Linked DNA regions of Pelodiscus sinensis. The protein of the gene in region 2 purifies or fractionates together with the protein of the main gene of each other region. This does not show direct contact. Links are inferred from orthologs where the notes say so. Each region holds a gene or a part of one and is shown on either strand. Other genes may lie near its edges.

What was found.
Region 1: the proteins of ADNP (region 2) and ZNF644 purify together in Homo sapiens (affinity purification with mass spectrometry; 3 studies listed by BioGRID and IntAct, with this or other methods). This does not show direct contact. The link is inferred for Pelodiscus sinensis from reciprocal best matches to the Homo sapiens genes ADNP and ZNF644.

What each region holds. Positions count from the first base shown.
Region 1 is NC_134719.1:33,384,988-33,400,246, reverse strand, and holds the start of ZNF644 (zinc finger protein 644), read left to right. Parts: upstream 1-7,706; 5' UTR 7,707-15,259.
Region 2 is NC_134728.1:18,563,788-18,579,452, reverse strand, and holds the start of ADNP (activity-dependent neuroprotector homeobox protein), read right to left. Parts: upstream 8,293-15,665; 5' UTR 7,924-8,292; intron 1-7,923.

The DNA.
Region 1 (15,259 bases), on a different chromosome or scaffold from region 2:
GGAGCTGGCTTTTAAGCTGGCTCCCTGCGAGCACCGGCTCCTGCCTTCTCTCCCTCCCCACCTCCGCTGTCTCTTATGAAGAGGCAGCATTGCAGGGGTCAGGTGGCTCCATGAGAGCCAATCCGCCTGGGGAGCTGGCTTGAAACCTCCTTCCCATGTGTACTAGCTCCTGCCAGCCCCACTAACCCTCCACACTGCTGTGTATCTATCAGCACAGGTGGCAGGGTGGGAGAGAGAGGCAGTTCTGCAGGAACTGGTGTTCGTGGGTAACTGGCTTTTAAGCTGACTCCCCAGCAGCTTTTAATTTGGCTCCCTGCACATGCCGGCTCTCTGAAGAGCTGCCTGCTTCCCCCCCACCTCCCATAGAGGCAGCAGCGTGGGGGGGACAGTTGGAAGGGGACAGGTGGGCTCTTCACACATCAACCCCTCCCCCCCCGCACTGCTGCATCTCTGGAAGGCAGAAGGGGGGGCAGGTGGCTCTTCAGGATCCGGCTTGAAAGCTGGCTCCCCATGGGCACCAGCTCCCACTCCACCCCCGCCCCATTGTTGCTTCTGTATCAGAGTCACCAAAGGGGGAGTTGCATGCAGTTGATATAATTACATTATAATCATGTAATTGACTACATGCTGACATCCCTGGTTAAGATAACTAGGAAAGGAAGATGGAGCCAGTGGGAGGGGTAGGGAAGAGGCAAGAGGATGAGGATGGGTGATAGCATGGAGAGGAGGGGTGTGATGAGTACCATGGTTTAGTGGCAGATGAATGAGACTGCAAAAATCCCAAAACCAAACACACAAGATCTGAAGGTATGTTCTTGGGACTGGCATGGGTCTCTGTGAAGGATCCTTTGCTGTACAGACAGAGCTCCGCAGTCATGCTCCTTATTGGTTATTGTGGGTCAGGGCCAGTTTATGTAGTGGCTCACTGCCTATTGAGTGCCTGTGTCTACATAGAGTTCCACAAACTGTCTACCTTCCCTGCTTTCATGCCTCATAGCCACAGAATTCTGTATCCTTAAAGGAAATGAGAAATAGTTGGGTCATATCTTCCCCACTTCTTTACCCATGCTGCCTCTGGTGAAGAGGCAGCATTGCAGGGAGCAGGTGGCTCCATGGGAGTGAATACTCATGGGGAGCCTTGAAGGAGTTGAGGAGCGACTGTGAGGACATCTGTAAAACTGGTGGGACTCCAGGAGACACGGCTAGTCAAAAAAAAAAAATTGGCTCTTGTGCACATAATTTGTGTGCACCAGAGGTGGAATCAAATATGGATAAGACATCTTAAAGAGCCATTGCTGTTAAAGGTAAGTAACCATTGTTTTCTAGATCTGTCTCTCGGATTTGGCTTACCTAATGCAGTGTATAATTATGACACATAAATTACTTAGTTTGGTATATTTGTCAAATTGCAAGATATATTTACTGGAAAGCAGAGGATGGACTTGGTGAAGAGTTTTTGTTCTGAAGCTTCAGAGTGGTAGTCAAGTTAATCTGTAACATGAAAAACTGAAAACTAGAAATAGTCTTTAAGGTGATACTAGACTAACAAAACATGTAGATGGTACCATGAGCATTTGTGGGCTAACCTCACAACTTCAGATAACCAGAGTATAATAAGCCCATATCCAAGAATAAATAAGGGGAGGGGGAGGGGGAGAAGGAAAAAGGGGAGGCGAGGAAGAAAAAGGGAAACATTGAGTAGATAGTTCAAATAGTTACAAGAGGCTGTTAAGAATCATTAGCACCTCCATTGTTTGTTTGGTTGGTTAAGTCATTAAAAAGTGGAAGTGTTGGAGCCATTCTATATCCCAGTTCAGACCATTTGCATAAGAATTAAACTTGTGAATGAAGTTAAGTTCCAATCCTTCTCTGTGTATTTGGCTTGTGGAATTTGTCTGAAACAAAACGGTGACTTGGAAATCCATGAATGAAAGTCCAGGAAGATTAAAGTGTTCTCCAACAGGTTTTTCTGTATTGCCTTGTCAGATATCTGGTTTGTGCCCATTAATTCTTTCCTGTTGAGATTGTCCAGTTTGGCCAGTACACATTGCAGTGGAGCATTGCTGGCATTTGATGGCATAGATCACATTAGTGGATGTGCAGTTAAATGAGCCTTTGATTGGAGAGAAGGCTTGGAACTCAACCTCATTCACAAGTTTAATTCTTATGCAAATGCTCTGAACCGGGATATAGGATGGCTCATACACTATCTTCCACCTTTTAATGACTTAACCAACCAACTAACCAACCAATGGAGGTGCTAATGGTTCTTAACAGCCTCTTATAACTATTTGAACTATCTACTCACTGTCTTTCCTTTTTCCTCCTCACCTCCCCTTTTTCCTTCCTTACTCCCCTCTCCCCCTCCCCCTTATTTATTTTTGGATCTGGGCTGCTTATACTCCAGTCATCTGAGGAAGTGGGTTTTGCCCACGAAAGCTCATGATACCATCAACATGTTTTGTTAGTCTTTAATGTGCTACTAGACTATTTCTTGTTTTTTCAGTTTTTGTTCTGCGCATTCATGTATCCTAAAGTCGTGATCGTTGTAATTTGATGTAGAATTCTGAATTTCCAACTTTTCTTTTACTTGAACAGTAAAAAAAACTTTAAGTGTGTTTTTGTTTCCTCTGGAAGATTCCAACTAGATTGTGTGTGTGTGTGTGTGTGTGTGAGAGTGAGAGAGAATTTAAATAGTTTTACAAATAAACTGATTTATGCAGTTAATTTCACATTAGACTAAATATAGTCCAGATGCCTATTGGGCAATGAAAAGAAAAATTAGGTGTTATGTGTTTTGTATCCTATTCCACTTTTACAGCCTGGTATTCTTCTTTTACTGTAATTTGCACATTGGACGTGTGGTAGCTCTCTCTCTTATTCTGGAAAAAAAAATTTGGTTCCTTTCCTGTCATTCAGTATGTTGGCTAATATTCGAAAAGAGAATCCTCTCTCTCCACATCCCAAACAGCCAGATTCTTAGCTCCCAGTCTTTATTTCCTTGGCATGGCCTAGAATTGGCTTTTATTGTTTATAATTTAAAAATACATGTGATCATTGGAGAGCATAGCTATTGAATTAGGAGCATAAGACGCAGGCCCCAGGACAGGTGCAAAGAACTTCCCTAAATGTCAATCACTGACCAGTATAGTAGAGTTGGGTAGAGAAGGGAGGGCTTGCCCTTAAAGTTTGAAAGATGCATCAGGAAACTAGAAAGGATAGCCTCTGGTAGTGTGTGAGGAGCCATAGAAGAAAATAAAAGTGCTGATCATTGCCATTTTCCTTTGAAGATTAGAAAGTCTTGCTAATCTAGAGAAGATGGATTTTGGGGAGATAGGGTGGATGGTTTCCTCAGTTATACTTCATTGTGCTTTAAGTTTATAAATTGTACCTACAATATTAAGTTACCTATAAAATATTTAATGGACCACATTACTAGAGCTGTATTTTTTCATTTTGAAAAATCTGTTTTCAAAGAGCAAAATGGCATAACTCCAGTATCAACCAAAGAAAGTATCAAGTTACTAGATATGTGTCAATATGAACTGAAGAAAGAATTTTCGTTTGGAGCTTAATGGAACGTCCCTTTGAAAAATCCCAAAAACATGACAAACGTCAGCTAAAGTGAGTTAAAAATTTCTTAAGTTGACTGTAGGGAAGCTGGACTTTAAGTTCATACTGAGGCAACATGCTATGGATGTGGAAATTCTCTGTCTTTATGCTCCTGATTTTCTGTGAATTTCAGAATTTGTACTCTTGTACTAATGCACAAGCTGATGTCAAAGTTTGACAAATCTAAGATGTTTTGGTCAGTAATCAAAATGAACTGATTTCTTCCATTTCCTGACCAACAGGGTTGTGACCTTTAGGCACTATAATATATAAAATAACTTAAATTCTATTTGATTAATTTTTCAGTAAACAAAAAACTCTTAGGAATTTTGAGTATTAATGATTTGCACTGTGAAAACTCAATTTCATACTGCCAATAAAAATCTGTAACCACTGTGAGAATAAGCCTTATGTGTGACTGCCTGTTGATTGCAGCAGCATGATCAAGCAACTTGAAGAGAAATCATGTAATAATAACTACTGAAAAGAACCATAAAACTTTGATGTACAAGTTACAGGAGAGGATGATATATAAACACAATACTTTTAAAACAGTTTCAGTAATGGCTGAGTGCTAGCTTTATATGTAAGCAAGCCCTGCCTGGATTGTTCTAGGAAAATCTTGTTCTTTCTTAGGGTACGTCTAGACTACATGCCTCTGTCGGCAGAGGCATGTAGATTAGGCTACCAGACATAGGAATAGGAAGCGGCGATTTAAATAATCGCTGCTTCATTTAAATTTACATGGCTGCCGCGCTGAGCTGACAAACAGCTGATCAGCTGTTTGTTGGCTCAGCGCGATAGTCTGGACGCGCGGGTGTTGACATCAAAGGTATTTGTCGACCACCCAGGTATGCCTCCTGGGATGAGGTATACCTGAGTGGTCGACAAATACCTTTGATATCGACACCCACCTGTCCAGACTATCGCGCGGCAGCCATGTAAATTTAAATGAAGCGGCGATTATTTAAATCGCCGCTTCATTTTCCTATGTCTGGTAGCCTAATCTACATGCCTCTGGCGACAGAAGCATGTAGTCTAGACGTACCCTTAGAGTTGCTAGAGGATTCTAAGCCTTTTTACTATTTAAACTTTGACAATATCCAGGTTGGGCTACACAGATTAGGGATGTGAAGGACTAGTCAACTGTCCAATAAGCAAATGCTTCCCCCCTGCCTTGCTGCTCCTATCAGATGGAGGCAGTGAGAGGGGTGCTTCAAAGTGGCAGTGCTGCACAGAGCCCAGGGTCAGCGCTATGTGGAGCAGGGGATCAGCTGGTGATTCCCCAGCTGACCCCAGACTTTGGCGCTTTTGCCTTTGAAGTATAGTAACAGCCATAGGGGCTGTTGATAAACTTCAGGGGCGGAGGTACCCTATAGATTAATCGAATAGTTGATGCAAAAATGCATTGGCTATTGGATTAGTCAATTACCTGATACTTAACATCCTTAGCACAGATCAGAGGAAGACAGCGTCCGTCCCATTAGCTTAACATGTAAATTCTTACAGAAATCAAAATTCACCAAACTGTTACTGCTGTTCTAAATAGGGTTGTAAAATTCTGGTTAAACGTTAAGCTAACCTAACATTGAACTAATTAAGCAGGATCTGGGTGGGGGACCACTTCAACCTAGCTGGGAGCAGCCCCCTGCCCACAGGGCTGCTGGATGCCAGCCCCTGCCAGAGCAGCCTGTCCACAGTGGCGTGGGTCCACCACAGACAAAGGCTTCTCCGGATGCTGGACTGGTCCGCAGCAGGCCCCCCAGTGAAGCTAAAGCTGCCTGCTGCCCATGGCAATTGGGGAGCTGTGCCAGCCCCTACCAGCTAACAGTTAATTGGAACCGGTTCTTACCAATTTAAACTTTCACATTCCTAGTTCTAAAATTAAATTTACTCTAACCTTTGCAGGATATAACTATTCTATCATATTATTAATTTTCAGTATAAATATAAGAGTTTAAAAAAATGTTTGTTCATGGCTTTGAATACTGGTTAAAAGCTACAGTAAACAATACTGTATTTAAAATTAGTATTAGAAAAAAAGCTTTAGTTGAGACTGAAAGGAAAGTTTAGTTCTGAAACACTTAACAAATCCACTGTGTCTGTGGTAATTGAATAGTTTTAATAGTTTTTCATGCTGGTTTTGGGGGAAAAAAAGTTTTCAGTCCTCTGTTTTGTTGTTGTTGTTGGTTTTTTTGGTCTATTCCAACAAATTGTTGGTTAAAGAATTTGACCACCACTTGGTGGCAGTACTTGGCTTCAAAAGGAAAATGGCTTTAATTCTCTTTAAAATTAGAGAGTATACAGGGAATTGTATGTATTTTATTTTAAAATAGGGAAAGACTGATCTGCAAGAGGCTTTTATTTAACGTACAGAAAAGCTTTTCATTTTTATGTCCCAAAGACCATTTTATGGAGAAGTTAGAATATTTAAAATGTATACTTAAAAAGATGTGATTTTTTTTTTAAGTGTTGGCTTTGAGCAATATTTTAACTATAAAGCTTAATAACTGGTATTCTTTTCATTGTATAATAACCTATTGATTACCTTAATGTTTTACTTGTATTGGGAATGGCATACTTAATGAATTCTAACACACTGTAATTTTGTTAATTTTGCTAAATGATGACATTGTACATTTAGAGAAATGTGCGTGCCTCTGTTTATATAGCTAGTCACTAAGGGAATCTTTAGTCTTGTGATCACTTGTTCATCTATAATATTTCTTTTTATTCAGTCACTTCAATTGAAAGAGCACAATTTATTTTGTATTTTGGAGACTATGGCTCCAGACAGCAGGACAAGGACTACTTTCCTAAGGATATCCCCTCACACTGGTGTAATTGCAGTACTTTTTGGCTTTAAGGGAAAACTGCTTTCAGAATTGCTTGTTCCATGAAGACTGTGTTTGTAGGGTTGAGGTCTGCAGGGATAGAGGACACACCCTTTGCAGCATCCTTACAAAGGTGCCTCCTGTGGGGAGAATTCTCATCCCTTGTAACAGGAGCTGAAATGGCTACCTCTTTGTCTCCTCAACCCCCCAAAAATCCAAACAATACATTGGGTAGACTCCTTTGAAGCATGATAAATCAGAAGGCAGTCCAGGCAAGCTGTCTTGCCCTAGAGGAAGGTAAAAGCCACAGAACAATAGTGAAATTTACAGATCTTAAATCCATGAAATTGAGTAATAATGGAAAACATGAATATTAGAAATATTAATAGAAAATGTCAAATTGCAACATAGAAAAATGCAAGTTAATACACTGGAGGAGGAGTAATCCCAAAAAGAGCAATTTAATGAGATACATCTGGAAAATACTAATACTAAAAGAGGTCTAAAGAAGGTGGTGAGCAGCATAATAGGTGTGATGTTCATAGTGACATATGCATAATGGAGAAGATAAAATAGTTATCTCCATACACCTATAATATTTTGTTCACGGGGGGGGGGGGAGTGATTAATATGCTCAGGAGGCTTAACTGCAGCTGCATCTGGTGATAGCATCAGTGGAAATTTTTTAGTAAAATTCCTTCATTTGTATATTGCCAATGTTAGGAGTGGTGTGTGTGAACCTAGAATTTTCTAGGAATTGATAAAATGCAGAGTTTTAATTAAAAAAAGTTGAAAAGGGTGAGAATTTTACAGGAAGGAAAGAATTGACAGCAACAAAAGAATGTAATTTTTGTTTGAAATGCAAATACTTAATAAAATTGAATTGTAATGATAAAAAGTCACTTGTAGCCACAATACTGATCTGTCTGCCAGTTACTCTAGACATAAGTAAAATAAAAATATTGGAAGTGTGAATGCAAGGAGCTAGGTTATAATGAGGAAAGACAGACTACATGGTATATTAAGAAAGAGGATGCTTCAGAATCTCAAAGGCTATGTCTAGACTGCAAGCCTCTTTCGAAAGAGGCTCTTTCGAAAGATACTTTCGAAAGAGCCTCTTTCGAAAGAGAGCGTCTAGACTGCACGTGGAACTTTCGAAAAAGCGGCTTGCTTTTTCGAAAGAAAGCACCCAGTGAGTCTGGATGCTCTCTTTCGAAGAAGCCCTATTTACATTCAAGAACGCCTTCTTTCGAAAGAGGAACTTTCGAAAGAAGGCGTTCTTCCTCGTGAAATGAGGTTTACCGCCATCGAAAGAAAAGCCGCGTTCTTTCGATTTAATTTCGAAAGAACGTGGCTGCAGTCTAGACGCAGGGGAAGTTTTTTCGAAAAAAGGCTACTTTTTTCGAAAAAACCCCTGAGTCTGGACACAGCCAAAGTGAAGGAAAGGAATTTACATAGGCAGAGGAGAACAGAAGAGAGGTTTGGAGGATAAATCAAGTGTACGAATAAAGAAGAGCTATGAAGGACTGAAGTCAGAATTGTCCAAAATGAATCATGGGCTGTGAAGCCTTCTAGTGGGAGATTAAGGAGCTTGGTGTATTTAGGATATTGAAAAAATATTTGATACAACTTGATCATGCTTAGTACATACACGGAAAGAAGATGTCTGATACTAGAGGATTTGGCAGACAAACATAACAAGATCCAGTGGCAGGAAGTTGAAATTGGACAAATGCCTACAGGAAAGAAGGTACAAAAAGGGTTGATTAACCAACAGATTGTTAAGGTTCTTGATAAATTCTCTATCCCGTGGAATATTTAAATAAAGACTAAACGTCTTTCTAGGAGATATGTTCTAGTTCAATCACAAGTTATTGTGCTCAATACAGGAAAAATTGGTTGAAATTCAATGTCTGTGTTTAGATGGGAGGAGGGATCGTACTGAATTGTGATTGCCTCTTTTGGCCTGAAAAATCTGTAAGTCTATTAAATATATAGTGAAGAGAATAAGACTTTATTTTGGAAGTGTCAGAGTTGATGGAGATGAGAACTAAACTTAAACACAAACCAGCCCCAAACCATTTAAGAATGATCAATCTTTCGTGGGGGGGGGGTCGGTTGAGGTAGAAAGTAAACCTTGAATAGACTAAACATTTTTGATACATAGAAAATAAATCATCTTTATTCTTTGTGTGACATTGACATAGAACATTTGAAACTGCTTCATAATTAAATAAAAGCAATATTTTTAAAAATCCACATTTTTATGTAAAAGAGGCTGAATTTTGAAAAAGCACTTTACACCCCCTATTTGAACCAAAATGTCAAGAGAAGGATTAGGCACCTAAATAAAGTGGCCAGATTTTTCAGAAGTGTTGAATTCCTATTTTCTTCAGTGGGCACTGTTGGTTGCTGAAAATTCTTACAAATCTTCATTATAAATACTGAAAAAAATTTCTTTTCTGCCAATAAGATGTTATTTTTGTTAAAATTAGTGCTACTTAGTATTTGAATGGACAAGAAAGCAGGGGGAGACTTTCACAATTCTTTAACATTGTCTCCGGTTCAATGCTTTAGACCTTACCTAAGGCTGAACAAAATAATGTAGTTGGTGTCCTTAAACCAAGCTTCACACCATCTTCGCAGTGGGATGTCAGCAGGAGCAAATGATCCCTTCGGCTTCTCTTACTCCTTGCAAATGTGAGGAGTAATGGCGTTGACCGGGGCCACCCTCAGCGTTCAGTTTAGCGAGTCTTTACTAGACCCTCTAACTCAGAATGCCAGAAGACTGATATCCTGCGCGACAAGTAGGGACGTGGCCTCAGTCTCAACAGTACTTTAAATGTATTTTGTACACATCTTTACATCTTTATATATTTTAGAACTATGGTGTCCAACTAGTTCTGATGCAGTAGCCACTGTAGTTATGTATAACTATATAGCTATATACAGGGTTCACCAAGCCGCGGGGAGCCCTGCTCGCCAGCCGCTCGGTTCGGGGCGCTGCACATGTGCAGACCACACTGCGCATGCGCTAACCGCGCTGCGTTGCTGGTGCCGGCTTGTAATCTACTCGCCACAGGCAAGTAGATTACATTGATTGTTGAGCCCTGGCGCATGCTCGGGCACGCTCTCTCTGTGTGTGTGTGTGTGTGTGTGTGTGTGTGTGTGTGGTGGCTACTGCTTCAAAACGGCTTGGACACCATGGTTGTTGTAAATATTCTGCTATAGCGAATTAGCCACTTGAGGCTAGTGGCTAGCATGTTGGACACCATGAATTTAGAATATTGCTCTCAAAACCTTCAGCCTCTGTATTAATCATTTGGTTAGCATTTAATTTGTTTGATACACATAACACTCTCCACAAAATTTGTGAGTTTCCATGTAATTTCAGTGGGGATCATTGGGAAACTAGATGTTTTAGCAGCTGGATAGAGAAGATTTGGGTGGTTTGGGTTGCTGGGATAAACATATTGGCTGGATGTTTATATTGAAATGATTACCAGTAATGGTTAAAAATGCTGACCTTTGATTCTGAAATCAAATGAGGAAGTTGAACCAATGCAGGCTTTTAAGAACAGATTAGTGCAGGGTTTCCCAATCTATTACATTTCAAAAGGGTCACCAAGTGTCTCCCCAGGTGGCTCTGCCCTCCCCCACTCTCCCCATTTTTGGATTGCCTTAGGTTACCAAGTCTTTCTGAATTGTCAAAATGGGTCCCCTTCTGGAAAAGGTTGGGAACCGCTGGATTAGAGAAACATTTCAGGGATGGTCTAGGTTTACTTGGCTCTGCTTCAACACAAGAGGCTGGACTTGATGGCTCCTTAAGGTCCCTTTCAGCCCTACACTTCTGTGATTATAATGTACTCCATAAAGCTAAATGGAGACTGTTCTCATCTATCTTAGACTCTTCAGACTGCCTGCTATCATGAAAGCTAGGAACAAAACTTCATTTAGATGAAAACTTAGATTTGGAAGAATAGTTTGTCAAGAAGTGAGTTGTGCAGCATATTCAGTAGCAATGAAATACATAGGAAATGTTTTTAAAAGCTGTTTTTCAATTTAGTGTTGCTCCATAAAGGAGTCCTTTTTTAACTTTAGAAAAAAATATCTTGGGCAGCGCAGCTGTCAACCCAAATAAAATATTTTTAGATTAAGGAATTAGAATGAGAGGACTGAAGCAGGAGATACATTAATCAGTCCCCTAATACTTCGATATCCATAGTGTTTGGTTCTGCACTGTAACATGCTCTCATTTTTTTAGTGTAATACCTGGAAGACTCAGACGTATGAGCTGATAGGATTGGATTACAGTGGGTAGGATTCCAGTTTCTATCAAAGAAGATAGTAAATCAATGATATCATAGAAGATGCAAAGTATAAAGGATTAGGATAGGTTCTTGGTGACTGAGATTTCCACTGAGGCTATCTATCCTGCTTGGCCCGACATCTGACAGGAACACATGAACCAGAACAAGAGATCAGACTGGTCTATGCTGGTGAGCCTACAGAGTTCGCTTGGGTAGCTGTTATGACAACAAGAGAGAGCTCTCCCATTTACATTATAAAACCACCTCAACAAGTAGAAGTAGTTATGTCCTTGGGAGAAACTCTTCTGCCAATATAGCATAGTTCACACTGCCACTTATGCTGGTGAAACGTTTGTTGTTTAGGAGAATGTGGTTTTTCCCCCACACTTCTGAGTGGCATAAGTTTTGCCAACATAAATGGTAGCATAGACATGACTGAAGAAAAGACATCTTGGGGAGGGAATGTTTACATAGAGCAGGTGGAAGTATGGCTGATTTATATTGCAGAGCTGTCTTTTCTGGAAAATAGAACTTTATTTTAAAAGTGAAAAAACAAACTAAAATATCATAGAACATTAGAACTGGAAGGGACCTCAAGAGGTCATTGAGTCCAGTCCCCTACCCTCATGGCAGGACCAAGCACTGTCTTGATCAGGACTACTCAACACGTGTCCCGTGGGCCACATGCAGCCCAAGCCCATTTGTTTGAGGCCCATGGTGTGGTTTGGGTTTACTGTGAGGTTTGGGTTGATATGTGCTTTAGTAGTTGAATTCCTGGCTCATTAAAAGTGCTGTCATATGGGTGGAAATTGGATAAATATTGGATGTTATTAATGTTAGTAGAGCTGACTTAAATGGGGCCTGTGTGTTATGTAGTCTTGCCTTAATCTTTGTATTCATGACTGTCAGTGTGAAAGGAGCTATATGCATATATTTGTGTATATATGCACCCACACTTAAGTTGCGGGCCTCAGCATGTGCTCTGAGTATTATTGTGGCCCCAGGGCTTCCGAAGTTGAGTAGCCATGATCTGTATCATCCCTAACAGGTGTCTGTCTAACCTGCTCTTAAATATCTCCAGTGATAGAGATTCCACAACCCCCCTAGGCAATTTATTCCAGTGTTTAACCACCCTGACAGGCAGGAAGTGTTTCCTGCTGTCCAGCCTAAACCTCACTTGTTGCAATTTAACCCCATTGCTGCTTGTCCTGTCCTCATACGCCAAGGAGAACAATTTTTCTCCCCCTCCTTATAACACCCTTTTAGATACTTGAAAACCGCTATCATGTCCCCTCTCAGTCTTCTCTTTTCTAAACTAAACAAGCCCAGTTCTTTCGTTCTTCGTTCATAGGTCATGTTCTCTAGACCTTTAATCATTCTTGTTGCTCTTCTCTGGACCTTCTCCAATTTCTTCACGTCTTTCTTGAAATGTGGTGCCCGGAACTCGACACAGTACTCCAATTGAGGCCTAATATGTGCAGAGGAGAGTGAAGGAATCACTTCTCATGTCTTACAGTAACAAGAGTGTTGTGAGCATCCCAGAATCATGTTTGCTTTTTTTCCCAACAGTGTCACATTGTTGACTCGTGTTTAACTTGTCGTCCATTAAGACCTGTAAATCCCTTTCATCAGTACTCCTTCCTAGACAATCCCTTCCCATTCTGTATGCATGAAACTGATTGTTCCTTCCTTATGCACCCACCTTATAGTAGCCCCATCTAGGTTGTATTTCCTTAGTTTATTGATAAGATCATACGAGACCGTATCAAATGCATATGTATATCTCCTTTATCACTTCTCCCTCAAATGTACACTACCTCTGTACACCTTAGATTCATGATGTCCAACTGGTTCTGAAACAGTAGCCACTATAGTGAAGAACTAGCCACACTAAACTGGCCAAATAGCTTCACGTGGCTAGTGGCTAGCATGTTGGAACCATGGCCTTAGATGGTCTGCATTATACCTGTACTGGACAAATTGTTTTCTTGAGAGAACTTGAGGGTTTTTGCTAGTGTGTGGTGTTTTATCAGTTTCTGACAAATACCACACAAAAATACAGCTCACATTGGTAATTAAAAAAAATAGGAGGAATGGAAGATTCCTGGCTCTGTGTTCTGTAATACATTAATGTGGCTTTTAAATTATTGAAATTTATACTAAACGGATGTCTCTGCAATAGTAAATGGAACTCTGAAACTGAGTATGTAATAAGCAAAAACTTAACAGCTTTAATGAGTGTTGAATCACAGCTAGAGGAAACTGCTGGTTATTTTCCACTGCAAAAATATATTCATTTTAAAGATAGTCATGTGACAAAGGTGAGTACTAAACAAGTTTCAGTGCAGAGAAGCAAATTTCCTGTTTCTGAAGTTTCACTATTTGAAACTGAATCCATAGTATTGATTACCTTGAGGCTCTCTTACCTTTACAAATAATTTGATTTTTTTTAATGGGGCATACACAAGACATCTTTAAGTTACAAATAATTTGTTGTTTTTACAGTAAAACGATAAAGGTTCTGACTTTGTTGAGATGGGAGCAATTGTACTTATTGTGAAAAGTTGCTTTAGCTGGACTTAGCTAGATTTTGTCTTTTCAAACCTTTAGAAATAGTTGTTTGTGTTACAGCTAATTTGGTTATCAGTTTATGGTCCCAACAGGATGGGGATATGCTCTTCAGTGTTACCAATCCTATGTATTCAAATATCAAGATTTTCAGGCCACTGCCCCCGCCCTCAGCACAATGCCATTGGCTGGTTTCTGGTCAGAAAGTGGCCAATGGGAGCTGCCTGTTTAAAGAACCATGACCTCCTCCCCTCCAGCTCAGTTATTCACACATGCACATGGCATTTCAGCGTGTGCAGGCCCGGGGCAGGCAGGCTGGCTGAGAAACGTTTTAAGCTCTGCAAGCATTTAGCTCTGCAGGCAAGCAGGCTGGTTGAGCTGTTGACTGGTAAGTCTCCTGGCAAGAGCCTGCCTCTGGCACCCTGGCCCCTCCCTTCCCCAGACTACTGCCCACCCCTTAAACATACCCAAACCCTCTGCCCCCCTCCTGTACCCATGTCCCCTTGCAGATATGGCACCCCAATCCTTTGCCCCAGATTACAATCCCCTCTTACCCTAGGTCACAACCCAGACTCTTGCACCCCAGTTCCCTCTCCTAGATCACAAACCAAATCCCTGCACCCCAGTCCCCTGCCCTAGGTCACAACTGCCTCCTTCACCCAAACTCCCTCCCAGACCCTACTCTCCCTCTTGCACCACAGTCCCTTATCTCAAACTCCCTTCTGCACCCAACCTCCATCCAGACCTCACACCTCCTCCACTAATATCATGGAAGAATGTGGCCTCACCCACTTCCTAAAATCTTGGAGTGCCCCCCTTCCCCCGGTCAAATTATTGCCCACCCCTGCTCTGTGGCTTCGGAAACTTGCACTGTTGCCATCCAAGCTGTAGTCAAATAGGAATTCAGATTCCAGTGTTGTCATTTAGGAATCTTTAATAGGTACTAAAATCACTATAAAAAACTTATCGTTCATAATGAAATCATCCTGTTTTTAATAGCCCAATGGATTCCTGATCTGTGACTACTGTTCCTATATGCTAACATAATACAAATAATGCATGGAGAAAAACTTGAATTTTAAAATTAAACGACCAGATAAAAATTCATGACGCTTTTTTATTTATCTAATCAATTGTTGCTTCCAAAAATCAAGAGAAGAGTGTTATCAGGAATCTTGAATTCATATGTATTGACTTCTATAACTATATGATAAGCATGCTTCAACTCTGACCTAAGATGAATCTGCTTTTCTTTCAGGGTAATAGATGGTAAAAATCTCACAACCTCATCCTGAGTGAAAATGGAAGTTCAGAAATGTACTTGTGGCAAATTGTTCAATTCCGTCACTCTCAGAAGAAAATATACATTATTCTGAGAGTTATAATGAAACTGCCTCCTCAAATATAAGCACCTATTTTCCAATACTTAAAACTTTCTGAAAATATCATTGTTTTGGGCTTTAAATTTCTCATAAATATTCTCACTGAAAGGTGAATTTCTTTTGTTATTTGGTTAGTAAAAAACCACTTTGCCATTCCTGAAGGATCTGAGCCTGAGGATGTGGTATATTTCAGTGGCTTTCAAACTTTTTTTTCTTGCGATGTAGTTGAAGAAAATTGTTGATGCCCATGATTCAGCATAATTATATTTTTTGACTAGAGTGCAGGCTCCAGGGTGGGCTGCAGGGATGATGGGTTTTGGGTGAGGGGAGGTGCAGGGGGTGAAGGCTATATCTAGGGGTGTGGTCTCTGAGGTGGGGCCAGAAATGAGGACTTTGGGGTGCAGTGTAGGGTGGGAGTAGAGGGGTTCAGTATGTGGATGGGAACTCTGGGCTTAAGGCATGGGGGCGGGATAACCGGGAGTGTGGGCTCGGTCTAGGGGTGCAGACTATGGGATGGGAAGAGGTGTCTGGGCTACAGGAGGGATTTCTGGAT
Region 2 (15,665 bases):
AGTTTTAAGAACATAAGAACGGCCACACCAAAGATCCATCTAATCCAGTATCCGGTCTTCTGACAGTGGCCAATGCCAGATGCACCAGAGGAAGTGAACAGAATAGGGAATCATCAATCAATCCCTCTCCCATCAGCCATTCCCAGCCTCTGACAGAGGCTAGGGACACCATTTCTACCCATCCTGGCTAACAGCCATTGGTGGACCTAACCTTCATGAATTTACCTAGTTCTTTCTCGAACCCTGTTAATACCCTGGTCTTTGCAATCTCTTTTGGCAAGGAGTTCCACAGGTTGATTATGCAGTGTGTGAAGTAAAACATCCTGCTACCTATTAATCTCATTTGGTGATCCCTAGTTCTTATGGATTATGTTAAACATCACCGTAGTAGTATTTTATCTTTAAAATATGTATTTTGCAGCTAACCTGGTCAATCAAGAATGCACAAGTCTGATGTGTGAACAGGCACACAATTACATAAGTTTAGAATCCAACAGCCAAAATTAGTATTCTTCCAAATGATTTTTAATGCCAAGTTTTTTAAAACTAAGGATATAAATGGTGTAACTGACAGTGACTCACTGTAGAAGAATATGGCATTTGTTCCACTCTTATTTAAAACCATAAAATATCAACAGCCAAAAAACACTAATGTATGTGAGGTTAAAGTGATGCTCTCCAAACATGGGCCTCACATTTGGGCTACCATTCTCAAATGCAATTAAGGTGTAAACAGTATACTTTTTTTTCCTTAAAACATATGGCCTTTGTGCAGATACATAAACAAACTTGTTTTTTTAGTCTTATCTTAAGCATCTCTTTAGCTATCTTATGTCAAGCTGATGATTCTCCTGAAAGTCTAGAATGAACAAATCCATTTATTAGCCAAAAGGGAGCATTTTTTATACCACGTTAGCCTGGTCAAGTTAGACTTTATCTAAACACAAAAGTTGTACAGGCAGTCCCCGGGTTACGTACAAGATAGGGACTGTAGGTTTGTTCTTAAGTTGAATTTGTATGTAAGTCGGAACTGGTACATATTGTAGGGGAAACTCTAGCCAAACATTTCTCCAGAGCTCAGTTTTATTCTCCCACACCTCACTTCCCTCAGTCCTTTATTCTCAAGCTGAGGTGTCTGCTGAGAAAAGCCGCTCTGCATCTCCCTGGTCTGCTGGGGGGGACCGTTAGCTTCGCGTCTCCCTGGTCTGCTGGGGGGAAGCAGCTAATGCGGGGTTGCCTCACCCCGTTTGTAAGTAGGGATCCGATGTAAGTCGGATCCATGTAACCCGGGGACTGCCTGTATTACTTTACCTAGACTGGTATAGTATAGTTAAGTGGTACAACCCCCATGCTAGTGTGGACAGGTAGGTTATGTCTATACTACAGAGTCTGTGTTGGCATAGTCCCCTAATGCACACACAACATACACAGACAGAAGAGTTTTTGAGTAGTTTAGCAATGTTAGTTATGTCAACTCTTCCATTGACACACCTATGTCCACACTGGGGATTTTATAAGTATAACTATATTTATCAGGGGCATGATTCTCTCACACCGTGACCAATGTAGCTGTGCTGATCTGTAAGTGTTGACCATGCCTTAGGCCTTGTGCATGCATAAAACAATGTAACAGTTATAGCTAAAGATCTAAAAGTGTAATCAGGTAAACAATAGGGATGTAATAGTGCATCCAGTTAAACAATTAACCGATAATCAGATGCTCTCCTCCTCCACGCACCCTCTACCCCCCCAAGGTTCTGCAAATACATTTTTTAGTGGGCTGGCCAGCAGGCTGCCTCAGTCCCAGCTTACACCAGGTCACAGCAGCTATGCAAGAAAAGTAATTTAGGAGCTTGCCTGACCACCAGCTCCTAAATAACTTTTCTTGCAAAGCCACAGCCAGGGTAACTGCTGGGACCACCAGTGCAAGTCAAGACTGAACTGGCCTGCTTGACCCTAGTTCCCAAGCTACTTTCAATGCAGAGCCGTTTATTGGGTAACCATGTAGCAGACAAAATATTTGTTGGCTACATGGTTAACGGATTACATTCAATTTAACATCCCTAGTAACCAATAAGCATCAATGGCACCAGTTACACTCTTCATAGGGCTGCCGGGAGCCACTGTTAACCATGTAACTGAATTTCTATCAGTTACACGGTTTAATAATTTTTTAAAAATTGTACATCCCTAGTTATAGCCATCCATTATCCCCTGATCAATGCAGTTATGTCAATCTAACTCTCTGTAAACACGCATAAGTCAGCTAACATCACTCTGAGAAGTGGCATTCCGATAGCAGAAAAATCCCTTCTGTTACTGTAGCCCAGAGGTGGGGAACTCAATGCCGCAGGGCTGGATGCAGCCCCCGGGTTGCCTGGATCCAGCCCTGGGGCCCCTCGACCATTGGGGAACCCGCACTGGCACTCCAATCCCCCTAGCACCCCACCATGTGGCTGAAGCACACAAAATATACTAGGCTAGGTGCCCCAGGCACTGCTGTGCAAAAGGAATGTGGGGAGTATCTTTCTCCTAAGTCAGGAGCCAGGTTAGTGAGGGTTTGTGCCTTCTTTGCTTCTCACTTGTGAGTGGCCCCTTAGTGATTTTTCTGTAGATCAGCAGCTCCCGACATAAAAATGGTTACCTACCCTGCTGTAGCCTGCAGCAGCTGGGTCACAGCACTATACCTATTGTACTGTGCTATGCCACTATAGCACAGACATGGCCTGCAGTGTGGCCTGTTAAATAGATATGGCGACATATCTGTATAAACGTGCTTATATTCCTATAGCTTTCAACCTTTCCTGAACAGGAGAAAGCTCTACCAATATAAATACATATATATCTCTATAACTGCATTCACACTAAAAGTTGTATTGGTATAGCTACCTCAGTTGAAAAAAATCACAATTATACTACATACCGCTCTGGCCCAGCACCCTCGAGACCTGACCAATCCTGATGGAGAGAATTTGCAAGACCAGACGAGGTCCATTGCCACTGGACCCAAGCCTTTGCCTGCTACTGGCTAGCTACTGCCGTAGCAGGCACACTGCCTCCCCCCACTATGTTGCTGGCCCTAGCAGGCTGCTTGCCCAGTTGCTGCTGGCTCTCCAGCCAACTGCATTGCCACAGGACTGTGGCCCCGACCCCACGCTGCTGGTAGCTGCTGTGGGATTCCAGCCCCAGGCCTACACTGTTGCGGGCTGCCGAAGGACTCCAGCCCCATGCTGTTGGGGGGCTGCCACAGGGCTGTGGCTCCAGCCCTGTCCTGCCCATCACAGGTGGCCCTCTTGACATCAGGCTCCTGGGCTCTTTGGTCCAGGAGCATACGTGGTCCAGTAGCCGGACCAGAGAGTGCCGGTTTTTGGAGGAGCAACCTGTAATACAAAATCTAAGCATAGATTATGCTTTTAGTTTAATATAACTGAAAAGCCCTCCTAATATTCAACATGCAGGCTAACATGTTTGAAAACTAAAAGGCCAGCAACATCTTAACGAGCTTTAAGAGGACTTAACACAACTGAAATGCTAGCTCAACTGAGCTAACAGGGCACAAGTATTCTAAGGCACTAGTGAATATCAAACGAAAACTCTGGGTAGAGCATATAGGTTATGTCTATACTGCGGAGCTATTTCATGATACTGAAGGTATCTCAAAATAGCTATCCCACGTCTTAACAGCGTACTCATTTTGAAAAATAACGGGTTTGCTATTCCGACGACCCCGTAAACCTCGTTCCACAAGGAATAAGGGATGTTTCAGAATAACAGGTTATTTTGAAATTGATTAGAAATAAGCTATGCAATTTGAACTACAGGTGTGGTGGAGACGCACCCGTAACAGGTGAACAATTTAAATCAAATAGCTGTTCACTTGAGTTAAAGTCCCAAAATGAAAAATGAAGTCCTAAAGATTTCAGATCCCGATGAGGATGATCACAATCCAATCTTGACTTGTTTTCTCTCTCTCAAACCGTATGCACATATATTAAAATGAAGATAATTTTCTATTTGTATTAATACATATAAAATGACAATCTGGCTTCTAAAGCTAATTGATTTTATATTTATTCAAATTTCTTCCTTTACACCAATCAAGCCAGATGCCACCTTCCACATTAAAAACAATAGTCATATAAAGTGTATGGTTTAGGCTGTGTACACATTGTCTTAATTCTGACAAACCATATGTTGTTAAGATATGGTTATGCATGCAAGAAGTGCTTCTTTGTAACATTTTTAATAGCCTTTTTCAAAGGTTGCAATTGCTCTTATGTACTAAAGCTGGGGAATAGCCACCCCTTATTCATGCTGGTATATGCAGAAAGCACAACTTACCTTGCACAGAGAGGATTGAATATGTACTTAGAAATCTAGTTAGAATTTCCCCTTCAAATTTAGGAGTCAATTGTTAAACTGGAGAGTCTAGCACAATTAAAATGTTTTAAGGCACCATTGTATGTTAATGCAAAATAATATTCGAGAGCTGGAATCTTAACAATTGATACCTTCAATCCTGCATAGAGCAAAAAGCTCAGTTATTTGTCTCTCCTTAGCTATCACATTCAGTAGCTGCATGATCATGGCTTGCTGAAGTTTAATGCTGCAAAGCACGCTTTTCAAAAACAATCTAGAAATTCTTTTAAAGCAGGTCCCTTGGCCCCAAACATATTGAGTACTATCACATTCTGTTCTTAACCTACATGTCCTTTTTCTTAAGAGCAAGTACAAGCTACCTTTCCTATTTTCTCACACATTCAAAATGCTATTTACTTCCCAACATATAAAACAAATGCTCTTACTTTAAAAAAAAAAAAAAAACTGTAGTAGTATTGGCCAATACACATTAAGGTATTAAAGATAAGTGTAGGCATTATTGGGGAAAAAGTGAAGTAGTTTTCTATAGTTCATTCTCATGTCAGCAGGCCTTGGGAGTTATAAATGTGAGTCAGTATTTGAAATGCTCGATATTAAACACACAACTGTTTCAGACGTGAAAGCAAGAGTGCATTAGCTTCTTAAAGCTGACTCTAAACTTTGAATGGGTAAACTATGTCGATCACTTTTAAATGCTGAAAAGCCAAGCATATAATAAATAAAAGTTACTGTGGACAGATCAAAATCACATTTAGAAAAAAGCAGTTAAAACCCGTATCAAGCGTAATAAATTCACAAGTATAAACTAGGGATGTTTTAATCAGTTAACCAGTTAAACGTCATGTTTAACCCATTAACTGCTTAAACCGAGCAGCCTGCCCACCTGCAGTGGAGTTGCGGGTTGGGGCTGCTCCAGTCAAACTGGAGCACCCCCTGCCTGCAGCATACAGGGTCTGCTCCTGCCAGGCTGGAAGACCACCTTCCGGGAGCTAGCCAGGCTATCTGTTAACCAATTAACCATTGACACCCCTAGTATAAACAAGCCTAATACTTTTGCTTAAATATCTAAGTATTTCTATGTAGGAACATGTTATCACCTGTGTGTCAAAAAGACATCTTCTCCATTCTAAGGCTTATCTTCATGTATACTGGAAGCATCTTCAGCAAAAATTTAACAACCATGCTACAATGAATCATCCTCAAGTGGCAATTTTTAGTAGTAACTGAGTATATTTCTTTTCATTTTTGTACAATATTCCAACTTCACTAAATGTTGTAAGGAAGATATTGGTTGGATTTGATTGATACTAAATTTCTACCCAACGTCTGTAAATATATATTACAAACAGTGTGAGGTATTAATATGTTTTTGTTTTATTTTAAAAACAACTGACTTTAAGGGGATGCTCCATTTTCTTTATTGGGACAGATAGTAACTGATACTAAGCTTTAGCAAATCTTCATAGCTGTTACAGTTACAATCCTCTTCAAGTGGAAGTTCAGTTTTTCCTGATAGTCCAGCTGTGACCTAGGTTGCCTAAATAGCACTGTTGCTAACAGGGAGTCAGGCATTTCAATCTGAAAGTATTTCAGTAGGCCATATTGTGCTGCACAAGACTTCTTCATCTAAACATAATCCTCTCCTCAAAGTTCAAATATGAATAAAGTTAATGGAAAGATCACAGCATAAACTAAGAAAATTCTATCATATTTTTCTAAAAGACTCCAGAGTCTTAAGCCTGTTGAATATTTTGATTAAAACCAAGATCATGAAACAAAATTATGGGGGAATCCCAGTTGTCCAAGCAAAGCATAGCTTACTCAGTCTACAGCAAAAGCAGGCAATGCTTTAGTAATGCACCATATCATTGAAGTTTCTACATCATCACTGCCATGCATTCCCAATGCGTGAAAAAGCCATGCAAGTTTATAAAGCAGATGGCACCAAAACCCATAATCAAGTTTTCATATAATTACTACATTCTCCATGGAAGTCCATGTATAGCCTTTCAAGAGACAGAAGTCATCCACGTGCTCTAATTCTCTTATTTTTCCATTTAATCAGTGTGATCTCTGAACACAAGTAGTCTGTCGACTTAAAAAATGATCTGAGATTATTATAGTGACAGAGTTACTCAACCCCTATGAACTGAATGAAAATACAAAGTAGTAGTATTGTGAATGGTACTGAGAATTTGATTCCAAGAACACAATTTAGTCACCGTTGTTTAAAAAAAAACATACTGAAGTGATCAGATTCTTCTCTAAATCACTGCTCTGTTCACTAAATCCTTTACTATGCTGCTGTCAGCTCATAAGAGCAACTAGCACTTGTGATAGGCCCATTTTCCCAGGTCTGTAGAAGGCGCTGTGTGGCAGCTCCTCTCCATGCATCTGGGGGCCCTTCCCCCTCTCTGCAGCAACCTTACCCAGTGTAGAGAATGCGCCCCCTACTGACTCGAACACTCATCTCTCCTTTCCTCCGAATTGGCTGCGGTGCATTTTGGGTGGGGGCTGGTATTTTTCTTCCATGGCCATAAACCAGATGCAATACAGATTTAAGGCAACCCCAACACACATACAAAAAAGGAGTCACATTCATTTTGGTGCTTTAAAAAATCACTTAGCCTGCAAACACAAACGAAAAGCAGTATGATGGGGTGGGTGAGAAGGGTGCAACCTCGAGCGGCAGAGAGCAACATTTTAGGGATTCCTCTGCCTTTGTCTGAGAAATGGGTTACAGTAACTATGGCCCGGGATAGAAAGAGGAAGGGGAGCGTGAGTTGGTAGGTGAATGGTACTCCAGCCTGCAGTTACTGTTCTGCTCAGGGGACCAGTCATGAATCGCGCCTTTTCCAGCAGACAGATACCCCGGCTAGTGGGGGAGGCTGCTCTAGTCTCCATTCATTGCACCGAAGCCAGCACTGCTTTCCGGCCTCTCTCCAGCGCCAACTCTGCCATTAGGGACCTTCACCAGGCAGGCGGCATGCTAAAGACAGCTCTGAGATGCTAGAGGCGATGGATCCATACATTCACTGATCCAGCTCGGCTACTTCACCCCACCATCCGCCGCCGCCAGTGCAGACCGTGCAATGAAAGCCACCCTCGAGGCACATCCATGTGCAGCCTCCGCCGCCGGGGGGTGGGGAGGGACCGAGGGAGGAGGCTGGGGCTGCATCTGCCGTGCGGGCCCTGGGCAGACAGAGGGGAAGCCGGTAGCGGTCCCTGCAGCCGGTTCACGCGAGTGAGCGGGCCGGAGCAGAGAGGAAGAACTGGCCTCTTCAGTGCATACAAGTCTTTCAACATGTGTGCAGCTGCGGAGAGAGGCGGGAGCTACCCGCCAACTCCGCAGCGCCCGCCTGCAGCGGGCATCGCCTTGGACACTGCACTGTGCGGGGACGGCAGGGGCTCGTGCCCAGCGGCTGGGATCGGGCTGCATGGGGCTATGCCCCGGGGTTCACGGGGGGGGGGGGCAGCTGTACCGCAGCACGGATCGGGGGTGAGGGCTGCCTCCTCACGGCTCTGACCCGCGGACGCACCTACCTGCCTGGGGCTCTCCTCAGCAGAGGAGGGCGGGCGCTCCCCCGGCACCTCTGGCTGGGGGTGGGGGTGCGCGGAGCTGCCTCCCTGGCGCCGCCCGGGTCCCTGGGCGGGCGGGCGGAGCGGAGCCGGCGGCGGCGCGGGGGAGACAAAGGGGGCTGGATGGCGGGGGGGTGAGTGTGTGTGGAGGTGGCCTATGGTGAGCAGGTCCCGGGGGGAGGGGGCGGTGGCGGCTCCACTGCGCTCGGTCCCCGGAGGGGGGGGGTGTCAGGCTCCGGGCCGGGGGGGGGCTCCCTGGGCGCCCTGCAGACAATACAGCCGGGTCCCTCCTGCCCAGAACCTGCCCTGGCCAAGATGGCGGCCGAGAAAGAGCGGAAGTGACGCGAGACTCTCATTAGCATACGGGACTCATTGTCCAGCGGGAGGGGAGGGGGCCGCGCCCCGGGGGGGAGGGGGCCTGAGCCCCGATGGGGTCCTGTTCGCCTAGACCCCATTTCACCTCGGGTGTGAGTCCTTTAAGGGAGGGGGGGGAGGGGAAGTAGGTTACATAACTCTGCCGATGGGGGGGGCTCTCGCGAGAGGGGCACCCGGCGGCGGGATCTACCCCAGGCCCGCTAGGAGGCGCCGCGCCCTGCGGCTGGGGCCTCAGCGGTGTTTGGCGCCGCCTGCTTATCCTTCCGCCACCCCTAGCCGGGACTACATCTTGCCTGGCGGGGAGGAGAGGGGCCTAGCCGCTGTGTCTGGAGCGGGGGCACGAGCATAGTGAGCACATGCCCACGTGATACATAAATGACTGCATCACGTGACCTCATCATAGTGAGCACACTACCTCGTGCCCGAGTGATGGTGCGCACACCTTGCACCAGGGAGCTCTGCCTATGTCAAGGCGTGGGAGCACCTGGCACAGGCTTTGGCACCACAAAGACAAAAGCAGGGGAGGCCAGAAAGGGCCTTTGGCTATAGAGAGATGGATCTGCTGTTTGCATGTCTGGCACCTCAGTGTTCTGTAGCAGCAACAGAGATCAGGCTGTACAGCATGCATAGGGCATTAATGTGGAGCATACACATTGCAGTAGTTATCACACATGAGCTGTGGTAACCATACACAAAAGAAGTAATTACACCATGGACAGTGCAAGAGTGACCACACAAAGAAAAAGCATTCACACCTCACACCATGGACAGCGCAATAGTGATCACACTGTGCACAAAGCAATAGTAACTACACTCTGGCTTTAAAGGATACAAAATAGAGAAAGAGGAGCAGTTAAAAATCTTTTGGGACAGTTGGGTGCTTTTAATATTTCTTTTATTGTATAGCAACAGTATTTTATTTGTCTTTGGAAAATAGCACCAACATCTTCCAAACTATTCATTTACCCTAACAAAATTTGGACTTCTAGAAGTAGGTCACACTTTAGATTTGGATAATAAACCTCTCTACTTCAAACTGTACCTCATGGAAAAAGCTCAGGGTTGACACAGTGTAAGATTTAAGGTTAAGTCATAAGGCTGGCTCAAACTGGGACAACTGGAAGAAGGAAGATTTAAAATTAAATTAAGGACATTGTAAATGTCTTATTAATAAAATGTATCACAATATCTTTAATTCTAAAAGAGACACTTTAAACGTTGCTCTTTTTTACCACCACTTTCTAAAAATAATTGAGATTTGGCAGGTTTTGATCTAACATACAGACACGAAAGGGTTTTGTGAAACTACAGTGATTATATTGTTTATTACTTAGCAGCTTTTACACACAAAAAAGTAAACCAATTTTATCTTAAAAATGTTTAGGTTATATGTCAAAACCATAGTTTCCATATTAAAACAAGTGTCATCTCACAAACAAGGGTCCTAACTGGGGCTACTCATGGTCCATAAACTTAAGCTAAGCATATGCAAGATCCCTTTGCAAGATTGAGGTTTAATTCAGTAAAAGTGCACAAAGTATCTTTAAATGAGATGGTATGAGAACTTTTTATTACATAAAAAATACTGGGATAGTTTATAGATACAATGTATCTCAGTGTTTCAAAACATGTTGATTTAGAATGATCACTAGAACTGTACAAACAGAAGTATAAAGTTTGAAAAACCATAGCCTGAAATTAAAAGTAAGGAAAACTTGCAGTAGATTACTTAAACTTCACAAAAGTTCAGTCCCAGATTTTCAAATTTCTCTAATCTGAAACATCCCCTTTTTTGTAGAATTTGTGATATTTTGTAGAATTTTCTTTTTTACTTGTTTCTCAAATTTTAGAATTTATTCTTTGATTGTCATTGTTTGTGCAAACCAGTCCAAATGATCACATGCATTTTCCTGGTAAATTCACATTAGTGGTCATAAGAACTAGTAAAACATGAAAAAGTCCATCATTTACAATCTCATTGAAATACACATACCTTATTGAACCCTACAAACAAAAATTGGTTAGTGCTATTTACTGTAAGAACTTTTAGAAAGGTGCTATCTAATTGTTCTTTAATTATGTGCCTTCTAGAAAACTTGACAATATACGTGCAACTTTAAGCAAAAAGCTATTTTAAGTTCTTATATAACTTGCATTTTCTAAGGATAGATATTTTTCATTTTATAGTGCAGTTTTGGAAAAAATGCTGGAAAGAATTTGTGAAGCATAGTTAAATGGGTACCATATTTCTGACCCTAACAAGTCAAAAGAAACCTTCTACAATGCTTGCATTCCTAAATAGCCTATGGAGAAAGACACCCTTTCCTGAGGTAATGCAAAATTGACTGTACCACAGAGTGAAATATTCTAACATGTACTCTACATCCAATTAAAACAATTTCATGGTTGCATATGAAAACAAAAACACCCCCAAACAAGCCTTATGACTTGATTTTTTCCCACTGAGTCTCATTTTAGCTATTGCTTATTAATATTGCAGTATAACAGATGCTATTATTTTCCAAACTTGGCTCTATCTGGTCAGAATTTTGGTTTTGCTTTTTACAGACAATTATGATTTGAGCAGTGGATTGCCATTTGCAACACATTTAATAGAGTGCTGCACGTCACAACTTTCCCCCTGAAATTAAAAAACAGGACAAACTAAGATTATCCAAAGAGGGGAAAAAACACTTATAATGGAGTGTGGAGGAGGGAAACACCCGGAGGGAAGTAAAGATTACCCTCTGCTCTATTGCAGCTAATTATTCTGGGCTGAAATGCATAAGTAACTGAAATGCTTTACATTGTGTAGACTTAACTAAGGAAAATGAATAGCAGTTACAGATAAGTGAAACTGAAATCACTAAGAATTAATTTAGATTTGTGGTGGCAAGATTCAGTAATTACTCATTTAACACGTGTGTCCACTTAACACGTTTTCACAATAGCACGATTTTTTGGGGGGGATGTTTTTCGAATAACATGTCTGTCCCTGAAATAACGCAAAAATAATCAAGTGGCAGACTACTTCGCATGGAGGTATAAGTTGGTGAAAACAGTGGTAATACGCATGAGCGGATGAATACATGTGGTCACAGCACTCCTCCGCTCACTCACGTGTTTATCTTTGTATTTTAACAAATCATGGCGACTTGTGTTGCTAGATATCTAATGTGGACGTTGATGAGCCAGCACCAACAAAAGACTGACTTTGCCGCCACCACCTGAAATGCAACCCCCCACCTTTTCCATTATTTTTAATGGGAAAATTGACCCCGCATAGCATGTTTTCGCTCAGCACGAACATTTTCAGAAGTGCATCTATAGTGTTAAATGAGGATTATTGTAGTCCTAAACAGTATTTGTGGGTACTTAGAAGCTGTGCAAGGCAGGGAGAAGTATATCAGTAAAGTGAATGCATAAAAGGAAGTTACTCACCCTGTGCAGTAACGAGTGTTGTTCGAAACGTGTGTTCCCGTCGGTGCTCCACTGTTGGTGATGGGTCATCCTGGAGCTGCAATTTGGAGTTTTTCATAGCAGTTGTCAGTTGGGCTGCACATTCGTGATTGGCATTTTGTGGCATTCACATCTTAGCACCTCACGTTTGTGGCATTTTGTGGCATTCGCATTTTAGCACCTCCCTCAGCTATTCTGGTGTAGATGTGGAACTAGGTACTCTGAAGTAGATGGGAGGAGGGTGGGTCGTGGAGCACCCACAGGGACACACATCTCAAACAGTCTTTACTGCACAGGGAGAGTAACTTCCTTTTCTTCTTTGAGTGATGTCCCCATGGGTGTTCTACTGTTGGTGACTTCGAAGCAGTGACCAATCTGGATGGTGGGCTTTGGAGTCACCACTTAATGGCTGAGGATAGAACCGCTGTGGCCAATGCAGAATCAGATAGTAGGATGGCATCATGTTTAGCAAAAGTATGCTCGGATGACCAGGTGGCTGTCTGGTAAATGTCTTTGAGGGCAACATTATGAAGAAATGCCATGGTTGAAGCAACAGCACTGGTGGAATGTGCTCTTGGTGGCACTGGCAAAGTCTTATTCCATAAAGTGTAACATCACATCATACATGATGATATCCAGTAGGAGATGCATTGGACAGAGATGGGCATACCCCTCAAGTATTCTATGATGGAAACAAACAGATGATAAGACTTGTGGAAAGCTCACATTCTGCCTATGTAAAAGTTGAGAACCCATCAGATATCCAATGTATGTAGGATGATGTTCTGACGACATACATGTGGTTTTGAATAGAAAGCAGGTAAAATAATTGGTTCATTGATATGGAACAAAGTAAAGACTTTTGGGAGAAAAGTAGAATGTGACTGTAAAGTAACTCTGTCTTTGGCAAAAACTGTATAAGGTGGGTCCACCATCAGATTCCCGATCTCACTGAACCTCCAGGCAGAGGTGATGATGACTAAAAATGTTACCTTTGTGAAAAGGAAAGGAAGGGAGCAAGTCACCATAGGCTCAGAAGGAGGCCGTGTCACGGAGTCTAACACTAAGTTCAAGTCTCATACATGTGATGGGGCCCTGTTTTGGAGTCCCTTAAGGAACCTTTTGGTGATAAGGCACGTGAAGACCAAGAAACCTTCAAGTGTCTCATGGAAAGCTGTAATTGCTGCCAGATGAACCCTTCGAGATGAAATGGACAAACCTCCAGTCTTTAGTTCAAAAATATAATCAAGGAGGCTATGACGCAGAGATGTGCGAGGGTTGATCAGTCTGCACGCACCAGGAGAAGTGCCTCCATTTGTAGAGGTAGGTTGTGTGAGTGGAGAGCCTGCTGCTATGGAGAACATCCTTCACCTGTTCAGAGCAGCAAACTTTGGAATTGTGGAACCAGACAGCAGCCAGGTGTTTAGGGAAAGAATGTGAAGCTGGAGATGCAGAATTGTCCCGTGTTCCTGCGAGAGTAGATCGTGGCAATCTGGAAGAGGATATGGAGGTAGGGGAGACAAGCAGTGGAGGTATGGAAACCAAGTCTGCCTGGATCAAGAGGGAGCTATCAAGATGACTCAAGTGCCATCTGAACGGATCTTGTGCAGAACCCTTGGGATAAGAGGGATCGGAGGGGAAAGCATAGCAAAGTGGTGCATTCCACATCACCAGGAAGGCATCCCCCATGGATTCATTGCCCAGCCCCTTCCAGGAGTAGTACTAGGGGCACTTGAAGTTGAGATGTGATGCAAATAGATTTATCAATGGGAATCCCCATTGTCAGAAAATTGAAGTAAGGACCCAAGGATGCAGTTCCCACTCATGATCTGTGGAGAAATAGTGGCTGAGGGCATCTGTCATAGTACTGCTCATCCCAAGTAGGTCTGATGCCCTGAGTGTGACTTAGTGATGTTTGCACCAGTTCCATAGGTAAATTGCCTCTGTGCACAGGGAGCGGGAGCATGCACTTCCCTGTCTGTTTATATAAAACATTGTGGTCATGTTGTCCATGAAGATGCAAACTGTTTGGCTGCAGATAGTGGGGGCGAAATGGATACAGGCATTCCTTACAGCCCTGAGCTTGAGAAGGTTGGTGTGCAATCTGGCCTCTTGTGGTGCCCATCTGCCCTAAGCCAGTTGATTTTGTAGATGAACATCCTATCCCAGTAGGGAAGCATCAGTTGTGATCTGCACTGATGGCTTGGGTTGGTGGAAAGGGATCCCAGCAAGGTAACCCCAGCAGATAACCTTATCTGGGGACATCCACCATCGGAGTGAAGTGAGAACATCACATGGTAAGGTTACCGTCTTGTGCAATGGATGATGGGATAGGATATAAACCAAAGCAAGCCAATGTTGAAGTGAACGGAAATGCAGATGACTGTGTTGAAACACATATTTGTAGCAGCCATATGATCCATAAGCTGGAGACAGGTAAGGACTGTCGTGGAAGGGCTTGCAGATAGAATGCTGATCAAGTTGTGAAACAATGGTGAGGTAGGTATGCTTGAGCTGATATTGAATCTAGGAGAGCCTCTATAAACTCTAGGGACTGAGTGGGCTCAAATGTGGATTTCTGTTTTGTTTATGAGAAGGCCTAGATGTTCAAATAATTGCCTGGCCTGTGAAGCATGTTGGTGGTCTCCTTGTGGGATCATCCTTTTATGAGACAATTGTCCAAATATGGAAAAATGATGACCTTCTGCCTGCAGAGGTAGGCTGCAGCCACTGCGAGAATGTTTGAAAAAAACCTGGATGAAGGCTAGGTCTCCATCCCCCCATTCTCTTCTGGGTAAGGAAGTATTTGGAATAAAATCCTTTGCCTTGATAAGGATCGGGCACCCATTCCATTGCTCTGATGTGAAGCAGTCGATCGACCTCCTGTCATAAAAGCTGCTCATGCGAGGGGTCCCTTAAGCGGGATGGTGTAGGTGGTAGGGTTGAGGGGAGGGAAGTCAGAGATATGACATAACCTGTGTGGATTATCTCCAGTGCCAACTGATCCCATGTTATAGATTCCTAATGATGGCAGAAAGGGTGCAAACAGTGGGTAAAAAGATGGTAGTGCTTTGAAGGCACTGAATCTTTGGGGAGGTTGGGCAGACCCTCAACCAAAAACTGTTTTATGTCTTGGGAACCAGAAGGGTGACCCTGTGAGGGACGTTTCTTCTGAGTTCATGACCTGGAGCAATTGTAATTGTAGCCCCTGTGTTGTGGTCGATTACATGACCCATCTCTGTGCCTGTTATAGGGTGTGTAATGTCTGTGATGAAAGGAATGTGCGCAAAGTCATGCAGGAGTACTTGCTGCTGTGCAGGACTTCATCTTTTTTGTGTCAAATTCGTGCTTATCAAAGGGCAGATCTTCCACTTTGCTCTGCAGCTCTTTGGGAACCCCCACGGCCTGCAGCCATGATACCCTTCGGATCACAATAGCTGTTGCCATGGCATGAGTGGCAGTGTTATTGACATCCCGTGAAGATTGAAGTGCTGTACAGGCAATTGTGTGGCCTTCATGGATTATAGCCCTTAGGACTGGTCATTTGCTATCTGAGAGGTGTTCCATAAGCTCTGCCAATTTGGAGTAATTGTCAAAATCATGATGGGCTAGTAAGGCTGAGTAGTTTGCGGTCCTCAGCTGGAGCATGGTGGAGGTGTACATTTTCTGACCAAAATGGTCCAACTTCTTGTGGTTCTTGTCATTTGATGTTGCCTTAAACTGTGGAAGCTTAGCCCGGTGCTCTGCTGCCTCAACGAGGAAATTTGGCTGTGTGTGAGAGAACAGAAAGTCCATGTCTTTAGTGGGCATGAAATACTTTCCGTCAGCCCTCTTGGTGGTTGGTGGAATGGAAGCAGAGGTCTGCCATACCT